3 linked regions of the Diceros bicornis minor genome follow. The protein of the gene in region 2 interacts with the protein of the main gene of each other region in a biochemical or structural test. Links are inferred from orthologs where the notes say so. Each region holds a gene or a part of one and is shown on either strand. Other genes may lie near its edges. The genes, in order: NET1, DLG4 and SIPA1L1.

Region 1 (3,744 bases), on a different chromosome or scaffold from region 2:
TAAAGTCCTTTCAGCGGTCTACCAGGTACTACATGATCTGGCCCCAGCCATTTCTGACTTCATCTTCTACCATTCTCCCTTTTATTTTATTCCACTCCAGTCATCTTGGATTCTTTGCAGTTCCTTAAACACATCAAATAGGATTCTACTTCAAAGCCTTTGCACTTGCTGCCCCTCTCTCCAAATATTTACACAGCTTAGTTCCTTAATTTCTTCAGATCTCTGCTCAAATGTCATCATTATCATCAGAGAGGCTTTTCCTTGTGATTTTTCCTAAAATAGCAACATCACTCTCTCCTTACTTCTGTCCCCCTTACCATGCCTTACTTCTATTCACAGCATGACCACCTGCTATTTTATATATTCACTTGATTATTATTTTTTCCCTCAACCAGAATTTAAGCTGCATGAGAACAGGGACTTCATCTTCCCTTGTTCACCAGAATTCCCAGTATCTACAACAATGCCTGGCACTAGGCAGGTGCTCAATAGCATTACTGAATGAATGTAGAATGAATTTAACACTGCCTTTGTCTGACGTTTTTGAAATTCTGTTTTCATTTTCTCTTAACTAGTCTTTCCTGGTTCTCCTGCTTCTCAATCTCAGAAATGAAGACTTCTTTCTCTCTGCTCTTCCATCTACCTCTTAAATTTAGGCTGTAGTCTGTATAAAGGCTTCATGAAGGTATATTCAGGCAAGGATTACCCTAAGCAGAGTAACTCACAATGGGTTTATAAATGCCTTGTTGATGAAAGTAAGGTGTTTTCCTATCTCTCTCTCAAAAAGGGATCAGCACATCCAGCCATGACTGCAAAGTAAATTGTGTAAGGGACTGTAGTTTATCTAAAGCAATAATGTGAAATGGACCACAGGGACTTTTGAAAAGATAAAGCAGAGGTGGAAATATTCTTACAAAAACCAACAAATAACAGTTTAACATTTATTGAGAACTCTCTGTGTACAGCTACTAGGTATACACCTTACATGTATTATCTCACTGAATTTCACAACAACTTAGAGGAAGTGGAAACTATTATAAGGCCCACTTTACAGATGAAGACAGCCTTGGAGATGCAAGGTCCAACAACCAGTCATTGGAACCTACCACCTCCAATACTGTGATGGGAAAGCAACGTCTTCAGTACTTCCTCTTACAGCGCTCCTCCTCCAGACACAACCTTCTGAAACCCTCATCTAGTGTCCATCCTTTACTGTCACGGGAGACAGAACGGGAAATGTGTCAATAGTTAAAAAGTCAGTGACTGTCCTCTTCGATCTCTTCACCCAGGAGGCTAGAGGCGTGAACTGTGCTCTGTTCAGCGACTTGGCCAGTTCTCGAAAAGGATTCTGGCCTCGGAAAAACAGTTCATTTTAACGCTCGCTTTTAGGCTAAAAGTTTGGCGTCTGAAGTTATCGTGGCTGCGGTGACAATTCCTCTCCCCTAGCCCCGCAGGCTCCAGCACAGTTTCTGTGTTGTCATTTGCATTTAGGAACGCTCACATTCCAGCCCGGAGCCCACTGGGTGTGGATAACCAACCTCCACTGGCGACCCCGCGTCGCGCCCCCCAAGAAAGGGTCTGAGGAGAAGGAGGGGGAGCAGCCCGACTCCCCTTCTGAGGAAGGTCGGGGGGGGGAGAGTGACCCCCCCCACCGTCTCGAGAAAGGTCTGCAGGAGGGGGAAGGGTGACCTCCCCGCGCACCCACCTGAGGAAGTTCTGGATCAGGGGAGAGGGTGACCTCCCCGCACCCGCGCCTCAGGAAGGTCTGGAGGAGGGAGAGAGGGTGACCTCGCCGTGCCCCCGCCTGAGGAAGGTCCGGAGAAGGGGGGAGGGTGACCTCCCCGCGCCCCCGCCCGAGGAAGGTCCGGAGGAGGAGAGGGTGACCTCGCCGTGCCCCCGCCTGAGGAAGGTCCGGAGAAGGGGGGAGGGTGACCTCCCCGCGCCCCCGCCCGAGGAAGGTCCGGAAGAGGAGAGGGTGACCTCGCCGCGCCCCCGCCCGAGGAAGGTCTGGATCGGGGGGAGGGTGACCTCCCCGCGCCCCCGCCCGAGGAAGGTCCGGAGGAGGAGGGGGGAAGGTGACCTCCCCGCGCCCCCGCCCGAGGAGGGTCGGGAGGAGGGGGGGAGGGTGACCTCCCCGCGCCCCCGCCCGAGGAAGGTCTGGATTGGGGGGAGAGGGTGACCTCCCCGCGCCCCCGCCCGAGGAGGGACCGGAGGAGGGGGGGGGAGGGTGACCTCCCCGCGCCCCCGCCCGAGGAGGGTCGGGGGGGGAGGGTGACCTCCCCGCGCCCCCGCCCGAGGGTCCGGAGGAGGGGGGGGAGGGTGATCTTCCGGCGCCCCGCCTGAAGAAGGTCCGGAGGAGGAGGTGAGTGACCAGCCCGTGCCGCCCGCCTAAAAGAAGGGGGTGGGTAGGAAGGAGGAGGAGCCCGCGCCCCGCCTGAGGAAGGGCCGGAGGAGGAGGGTGAGCAGCCCGCCCCTCCCCGCTCCCCTCACCCCCCTCTCCCATTACCCCCCGGCCCGGGCCTCGGACCGGACGCCCGGGTCCCCAGTCGCTGCCGACCCCCGCGCTCACCTGCCGTCCAGCTCCGGCCTGGGGTTGTCGGCCGAAGGCCCCGCGGCGCCGTCCGCGCTGAGCCCGGAGGCCCGGCGGCTTCGCCTCCGCGGCCGGGGCTGCTTTGGGGCCGCCAGCTCGGGCTCCATGGCGCGGAGGGGTGGGGAGGTGGCCGGGTGCCCGGGAGGCCCGCGGGGACCGGCACGGCGCCCGACCACTTCTGCCCAAAGAGCAGTTTCTGTCACGAAGTCGCCGCCGCCGCCGCCATCTTCCGGGGTTTGAAAATGGCGGCCGCAGGAGATCAGCCAATCAGGGGACAGGGGACGGTTGCTAGGAAACGTGAGTCCCGCCCCTCTCCACCTCCACGCCTTCCAGGCGCTTAAGTGGAGGCAGGAAAGGGAGGGTGGTCAGAGCGGCCAGCCATGCAGATAAGTGAGTGGCCTTGGACTGAATTCTGGCTCCATTCCTAAATCCCCAAAGCCTGCTGCCTACTGCATTGTTTATTAGGACTTTCACCATAGGCCAATGAAATTGGAAGCATTTTAGATCTTTCTCAGCATTTGGTGAGAAGAGAGGCTGAAAGTAATGACTTATAATGAGGTTTGGTTATTAGCCACATATACGCTAAATTATTCACGTGAGATAAATCCCCGTTTACCAAAGGGAGTGGAAATGTGTTCTTAAGGCTGTCTGTAGGAAACCAGTGGTATCTAATTGTGAGCCCTCCTGTCTCCCAGTTCCAAAGAGACAGTCTCTCCTTAGCAAAAGAAAGTGAAAGTGCCTTCATCCTCTGATTATTAAAAAGGCAGCCGAAGTAACAACATCAAATAAAGGACCTTCTCAAATAAAAAGACAGTTGTTAAATGAGCACATTCTTTGATTTTAAATATTGCTTTTTATGTGTCAAAGGCTTTAAAAATAATCTCTCCTTTGACACTATGATTCCATTTCTGGGAATCTATCCTAAGAAATAAAATTATATTTACATTGAGGAGTGGCAGAATATGCCACTTTGGCACGAGGATTATTTTGAGCTACAGGCACTTGAAAAACAGCAGGTGCAAGAAGGGCGCTCTGACCTCCCCTGTGCTTCCTGAGAGCAAGGGATGAAACTCCCATGTGAAAGATGCCCTCCCTGTACCAGGAGGAAAGAAAGTTCTTACCACAGGTGGGGAGTCAAGGCAGAGAGAATTCTG
Region 2 (3,744 bases):
CGCAACTTCAGTCGTCGCCGGTTACCATGGCAACGGCGGCAGCAGCGCGGGGAGAAGGGGGAGGGACGGGGGCGGAGTGGGAGAAAGATGCTCAGAGACAGAGAGACAGGCAGAGATATAGGCACGGAGTAAGACTAAGTGATAGCTATAAAGGCAGAGTTAGCACAAAGCACAGGGCCTGGCACATAGTGGCATTCAATAAATGTTCCTTAAATCACTGCGGCAGGAGTCTAAATATAGGCAATGAAAAATGGAGGACTCAGACGGAGCTGGGAAGCTCAACGACCGCAAAGCCTGGGCACCCCCTTCCCCACACAGCATTTTGGGGGAAAAAGTGCCATGTGCCCCCTGCTGGCTCCTCCTGGGCTACCCTTCGCTGCCCTGGATAGAGATGAACCACAACTCCCAACAGCCCCACCGGCAGCAGCCCTCTAACACTGAGGGATCTTGTGCCTCAAGGTCTTATGGGAGTTGGAGTCCCCGCCATCCCAAGACTGCCAAGTTTTCCGGCCAAGTAATATGGTAAGCCTGGGTCTCCATGCCTCTGTAAAACCCCAAATGCATGATCCTCTCTGCACAAGGCTCTTTCCTTCGGAGAGGCTCAACCCTGGGCTCCATCGAAGAAGTAGGAGTCTGGAAGGGAAATGAATAAGCCACCCTCCCAGAATAGCTGCCAGTGCAGGCAAGCCCCTCACCCTCACTGGCGTTATGTTCACGTGTTGGAAGCAGAGCCTACACATTCCAACTGGCTCTCTGTGTACACCTGTACACAGGAGACCACAGCCAGGGAGCCTAAGGTTAAGGGGCAGGCTAAGGGCAGGAGACAGGTGGAGCAGAGGATCAGATAGACATTAAAGGAGACCAGGCCAGAGAAACTGAGGCACCAAAATCCACTGAAACTACAGGGGGTGAGGGAAAGAAGCAGTGTGGGAGAAAGCCCAAAGCCCACAAAACAGGGTACAAGCAAGTAGCCCTGGAGAGGGGGTGGGGGCTCCGAACCTAAAGGTCCTCAGCCCCCAGTCTCTTCCATCCATGCTCACATGTGTACAGCGCATGTGTACACACATGTGTGAGTTTGTGGCACAGAACATGTGTGTCCTCAGCTCCCTCCCCTGAGAAGCTGCAGTTCCCACTAAATATAACCCCCTCCCCAGCCAGTGACTCACCCGGACCCCGCCTCCCCGGCCCCCACTTCCTGTCCCACCCCCCAACCCCCAGCTGCCTGCCACCCGCCCAAGCCTCCCTCCATACACCAGGCATCCAGCTTTCCAGTTCCAGAGTCTCCCGGCCAAGACCTAGGTATTCTGCATCCCACCAGGAGCTTGCTTGCGCTCCCCATCCAAGATCTCCTGCCCTTTCCAGGCCCCAACCACAAGGCCACCTTTGTACAGATCCTTACTGCTGCCAGCCCTGCCCTCCTCCTACTCCTTTTCACCCCAGTAACCTTAAATCCAGGTGTCCCCCCAACCTTGATCCTAAGTGTCAGGGGTAGTAACAGGAACAGTCCCCTCCATCTGCTCTTCTCCCTCTTTCTCAACCAGGGGTAGATACAGTGTAGGAGGGGATGGGGACATTGGGAACCTGCCTGGGCCACCTCCAAATTTTGTACCACCTACCTGGTTCCCCTCCTTAAATCCCCTCTCTCTCAAAACCTCCCATCGTCCTCCTCAGGAGCTGGCAACCTCAGCTGCCGCAACCTTCTACGTCCCATGGGAGTACCCCCAAATCCTAACCTCACCTGGTCCATTCCCTCAGGTGATCCTATGCCAGACCCCAGCCCTCTGACAACTCCCAACTATCCCCATTCCATATGATCGAACCCTAAATTAACAGTTCCTTCAAATTGAGCAGACCCTCAAATGTATCTACCATGAGACGCTTGTTCCATAGCCTGAAGGCCCACCCTTTCCCTGCCAGCTGACACCCCCAGACCAGTCAGGCACTCCCAACCAATAACCTTCTACCCCCAAGCCAGGAGCCCCCTGAAATTAGACAAGGCACCTGGAAGCCAGCTTGTCCCCCAGGGGGAAAAAGGACCCCCCCACCACGTAGTCCACCTAACATACACAAGAGCAGAACTCCCATGTGAGCTAGGCTTCTCCTTAAATAAGTCTCCCTCAAACATCATTGGTGAACCCCAAAACCCACAAGACCCCCCAAACCATGGAATACACCAAATTTTCCATTTCTCTACAGGTACAAAGGGATCACTCCGGGGGCACCTGTGGCCAAACCAAGCGTTTTCTCAGATGTGCACCCCAAAAGTAAATTATGACCCTGAGATACATCTTCTGATGCTCTCACTCCAGGCCCCCTGGCCCCAGATTAGGCCTGCCTAACCCCTCCCCACAAACTCATACCCTCCCCCCAGTTTACAGACCCCCCATCACGCTTACCTTGGTTGTCACTATACAGAGACAGTCCATGTTGGGGGGCCTGGCCGCGGCGGCGGGTAAGGGGCTCTGACTTCATCGGAGTTTCCTTCCTCCCCTCCGTCGGTTCTCACCCCTCCCCCCTCCGCACCCCACTTTTGCAGGGGGAGCCAGGATGGGGGGAGGGGTGAGAGGGGAAAGAGGGGGTTGGAGAAGGAAAAGGTAGGGAAGCGTGGGAGGGAGGGGAAGGGGGCCCTAAAAGGGGGTCCCCAATGGAGGGGAGGGGGCTCGGGGAGCACACCCCGATTCTCAGGAGGGGCGGGGGCACCGGGGGCTGGCAGCCCCGGAGTTCGGGGGCTGGGGCATGAGCTGAGGTGGGGGAGGGGAACTGGATTCTGGGGAGCCCCGGGGTAGGGGGGGGTCTTGCCTAACGGCCAGGGGCTAGGGGCCGTGGCGGGGGAGTGGGGTGGGGGGGTCGGAGGCGGCAGCGGCCGAGGGAGCCGTGGAGCCGAGGAGGGAAGGGGAGAGAGGAGGAGAGAGGAAGCAGGGGGAGGGAGGGAGCGAGCGAGGAGCGAGAATGGGGGGGGTGCCTTGGCAGAGTTAACTCCTTCAGTGCTGGCAGGAACCCGGATAATGGGAGAGGAGATGGAAGCAGGAGAGGAGAGGCCCTGAGGCAAACATGGAGACCTGGCCAGCCACCAGCGATACAGCAGAGACGATGAGGATGGGTTTCATTTCTCAGAGGAAGCACCCAGAGTCGGGCTGGGAGCACCCACGGTTGTTTAAATACTGGAGACAGCCCGTGATAGGGGGCAGGGGGTGAGGGAGGGGCTGGCAGGAGGGAATCCCTGGGGGCCTAGTTCTCCCTCGGGATTCACAGGAGGAAGCCTGAAAAGTAATTACGTCCTGGACTCTTAGTGCCTGAAATTGGGGCAGGCAAAGAAAGGGGGGAAGCAAGAGGGAGAAGAGGCTGCAGGACAGGAGAAAGTGCATTCTCCATGCCCCTCACTCAGAATTTCATCCCCAGGGCCCCCAAGTCTCAGTTAAATATTAGCAGTGCCTCCCTCAGTACTTTGCTCCAGCCCTGCCTCCTCCCTCAGGAAGTCAGTCCCCCCACCCCACCCCCTTACCTGACTCTCTGAGATGGAAGCCTCATAATAGTCCAGGATGTCTGTCACAGGAACAGAACTGAGTTACCCTCCCCTGCCCCTGCCTCCCTGGCCATCCCTGCCATCATTGGCCTCCTTCTGTCTGGTCAGGGAGGAGCTCCTCCAGCCGAGCCTGGTGGACGCTGATGGAGGACACTGTCAGGATGACCCCTGCGGGGGCTCCTGCTTGAACCAAATGATCTCCAGGCTCTCAACCAGCCCCT
Region 3 (3,744 bases), on a different chromosome or scaffold from region 2:
TCATGCTCCTGTCGCACAGCTCAGCGACAGAAAACAGCCATTTATTGAAAAATTCAAACTGCAAACCTTAGAACATATACATATTTCAACTCTGATGGATTCCCCCAAAGTCTACAAAACCGCCATCTTCAAGCAATCTTCAATCAATGTTTCAATAAAGTTACTAGGTGTTTTTAAAAGGGGGCATGGAGGGGAGGGCTCCACCAAAACTACACACATAATCAAAGTAAAAGCAAAGTAAATACTAAAGCCAGAAAACAGTGAAAGGAAAGAATTAAAAGAATCTCAATATAAAATTTCTGTGAGATGTTTTGAAATTCTTACCAAGGTTTAGGTCAACCTTGCCACAGAATCCTACAAAGAAGCCACAGCTAACACTGCCTGACGCTTCAGACAGAAAAAGTTCACTGCACCAGAATTGCAATCTCAAACTCGAGGAGCAGTACCAGGAACTGCAGAGAAGCTAACAGCAACACCTACTGACTGTCTTGAGCCACTTGCCAAACTCGTTCTCTCAGTCAACCGGAAAAGCCCAATGATACAGTCAACGTCGGGAGTCCTTTACTTAAGCACAATGAGATAAGAAAACAAGTTGTCAGCCGCATTAAACCATTCATCCCCCAAAATCTCTTATTTTGCCCCTAACCATTTATGTGCAAATCCTCACCCAGGTCATTTTAAATGCATTGTTAACTGCTAATGCCTTAGTATAAATAATTTATTCCATGGGAAAAATGTTTTAATATTAATCTCGTTAATAACTGGTATGTGATCTAATAGTTGGACACATCAGTGACCATAAACTGCTTTATTTGAGACTACTGTTGTTACCACTGTTCTATATTATTCCCATCAGCGTTTTTTTTTTTTCCCACCCTGGTAAAGGTGGCTTAATTGCAGCTTTCAAAAAATTGAAAAAGGGAAAAGCGAAAGTCGTTAAATCAGGATAATATAGAAAATTAATATTGTTACTAAACTGGCCGCAGAGAATGATTGTACAGGACTTAACCTTGTACTTTTCCAAAAGATTAAGTCAGAGAATCTTTGCCTTGGACGAATATTCCATAGGAGAAAACAAGAGAAAGTTGACAAACTCCCACAGAGTACCAGGATAAAAACAATGGCTTTAAGAATCTGAGTCAGAGTTTCAACATGAAAGGTTTGCTTTATAGAGGAAACGCCAACCCCAGTTCATCCAGATAGACCTGGAACCTGATGAAAGTCGACACTCACTCTGAAATTTGCATCGCATCACTGGTTCCCAGTTTAGAAACATAATCGTTTAGCAGGTAGTAAGAATTTCAGTGAATGCTGCCTCTAAACTACCCGGCATAAAAATAAAATCTATAAGGTAAATGCAGTCTAGGAGCCATCAGTCCCCAAAAGCTTCCCTTCAAAAATGAATACCAACTACTCACTTAACAACACCTTCCTTAAAAGTGAGCCATTTCCCTTGTCTCTAGATTTTCCAAACGGTGAACCCGATGGAATTTCAACCTGCCCACCACGATTTCTTGTCCGCCTAGAAATGCCGTGGAGCGACAAGGAGGCTCGCAAATTTCCTTTAAGGTCAGGAGACAAGTTGGAAACAGAAAGGGCGAAGGAGGAAAAGTTCTTCTTGCAGGACCCTCATGCGTGCCCAGCCCTCTCGAGGTTTACTTGCTCCAAGGAAAGCAGTTAGAGCATCCCAGACTTGCACCGCCCCCGCCCAAGACCCTTGGGAGAGAAATTAACCACCCGCGGCCACCGAGCTGCTCTTCTCCCTCTCTGGTGATTAAACCTCTCGGCCTGTCCCCTCCAGCACAGCCTGCAAAGCGCTCACCCAGGTGACTGAAGGGGAAGGGTCGCCCGGTGGAGACGAGAGCAGCGGGGTGGGCGCAGTCACCCCGACGGGAGCGCGGGTCTCCCGGCCTCTCGCACAGGCGCCTGGCCGGTAGTTGTGCAGATTCGGATTCCGAGATGCGTGCGCGCGCGCCAGGCGCTGTGCAGCCCGGACTCGCCCCCGCGGGGCTGCGCTATCAGCACGCCACCAAATCGGAAATAAAACTTTGACCGGCCTCCCGGTGTCCTGCTCCGGGCCCTGGACCCGAGCCCCAGCCAGAAATGGAGTGGGGGGCTGTCAACAGTCCTGCACCCCTGCTCGGCCCCGGGGCGCGGGAGCCACTTACCGCTGGGCCCGGCCTCCGAGTGCCGCCGCGCGTCCGGGGCGCGTCCGCCGCGCGCTCTCTCTGGGGAGAAAGAGAAACCGTGTAGACGGTCGGCGCGCGCTCCCTCGCCGCCTCCTCTGCGGAGAACGGCAGGCAGCAAGGCCGGGGCGGGCGCCGAACGGAGGGGGGCCCGGAGGAGGCGGGGGCGGAATCAGCCCAACTCCGGAGCCTGGCTCCGGGGGGGACCCGGAATGCAGGCTGGAGAGCTGCCGGCGGGGGCCGCGCTCCTGGAGGAGTGGGGGGCGGAGGTGCCCCCGTCCCCGGACATCAACTATTGTCTGGGCGCCCGGGTCTCCGCTCGCGCCGCCTCCGAGGCTCAGCGCCCCCCATTCCGCCCGCCTGCCCCCAGGAGAAAGAGCTGAGGGGGCGGACGGCGCGGGAAGGGAGTGCGAGCTGACTGGGAGTCCAGTGTCCGGAGGTCGGAGGTGGGCGCGGGGGAAAGGGGAGGTGCGTGCCGAGTGGGGGAGGGGACAGGTAACTGCAGAAGGGGGCGGGAAGGCCCGGGAGGCCCCGTGGGGGGAGGAAATGGCGAGGGAGCCAGGGAGGCGGGAGAGGATGAAGTGACTGGGGGTGGCCTCTGAAACCCCGATCTGGCCCTCCCCGGGGACCCTCCTCCTGGAACTCGGCGCCGCACTGACTTTTTCGCTCACTCGCTCACGCACGCACTGAACTCGCTCACAAAGTTGCCGGCGGTGGCGGCGCCTCACTGGCCCTTCCCTCCCCTCCCCACCCCTCTCTTCTCCGCCTCCCTGCCCCATTCCTTCCCCTCGTTCTCTCCCTCCCGCCCCAAGTCTCGGGTGAGATCACTGCTGGGCTGCTCAGCGCGGCTCGCAAATCTCGCGAGAGAAGCGGCAGCGCAGCCCTGCCGGCGGGGGAAGTGGAAGGAGTCGGAGGGAAGTGGGGAACCGTGGAACTCCTGGTTGCTATGACGATGGCAAAGCCCTGGGTTCCTGTCTTCTGCAGAGAGCACAGGCAGCAAACGTGGGTGCAGTTTTCAACCTGCCCCCTCCCTTGCCCGGCCCCTAATGGTGGAGGAAGCGAAAGCAAGAAGCGGAAGGCGGATTCTTAAGCCTATTCAAGAAGGCATCTGTAGAAGACCAGCTTCATGATATCTGGCCCAATCTGGCAAATGAGGCTAATTGGTTTTTTTTCAGAGGTTCCAGGGCAGATTTCTGCCAGAGAAGCCAGTGTATATCTGTACCCCCAAATTTCTACTATATATTCAGTTTTTCAAGCTTCTCGTCTAATCTCATCCCCAACCCCCACTCCATATGCTCGCTCTCTCCTTTTCCCCCACTCCACCTCCCCATCACCACCAGCACCACCAGACTGGGCTCCTTGAAGATCTGCCCTATTCATCTTTGTATTCTCAGCTCCTCTACAGGCTTGGTACATAGTAGGTATTTACTTATTGTCTTTTGGGGAAAAAAGTGAACGCCACAGTCTGTCCGTGTCTTCAGTACTTTCCTTTGACTCTATAGAGTCCTTAGGCTTAGAATACGTTTCTGCTCCACAGTTATGTTTTTTACTCTCTTAC

The links.
Region 1: the proteins of DLG4 (region 2) and NET1 interact in a biophysical measurement, tested with the Homo sapiens proteins (2 studies listed by IntAct, with this or other methods). The link is inferred for Diceros bicornis minor from reciprocal best matches to the Homo sapiens genes DLG4 and NET1.
Region 3: the proteins of DLG4 (region 2) and SIPA1L1 form a complex in vitro, tested with the Homo sapiens proteins (2 studies listed by BioGRID and IntAct, with this or other methods). The link is inferred for Diceros bicornis minor from reciprocal best matches to the Homo sapiens genes DLG4 and SIPA1L1.

The regions. Positions count from the first base shown.
Region 1 is NC_080775.1:6,573,638-6,577,381, reverse strand, and holds the start of NET1 (neuroepithelial cell-transforming gene 1 protein), read right to left. Parts: upstream 2,813-3,744; 5' UTR 2,698-2,812; coding exon 2,570-2,697; intron 1-2,569. UniProt on the Homo sapiens protein: Acts as a guanine nucleotide exchange factor (GEF) for RhoA GTPase. May be involved in activation of the SAPK/JNK pathway Stimulates genotoxic stress-induced RHOB activity in breast cancer cells leading to their cell death.
Region 2 is NC_080757.1:11,068,502-11,072,245, reverse strand, and holds the start of DLG4 (disks large homolog 4), read right to left. Parts: upstream 2,871-3,744; 5' UTR 2,427-2,870; coding exon 2,397-2,426; intron 1-2,396. UniProt on the Homo sapiens protein: Postsynaptic scaffolding protein that plays a critical role in synaptogenesis and synaptic plasticity by providing a platform for the postsynaptic clustering of crucial synaptic proteins.
Region 3 is NC_080763.1:19,729,799-19,733,542, reverse strand, and holds the start of SIPA1L1 (signal-induced proliferation-associated 1-like protein 1), read right to left. Parts: upstream 2,769-3,744; 5' UTR 2,169-2,768; intron 1-2,168.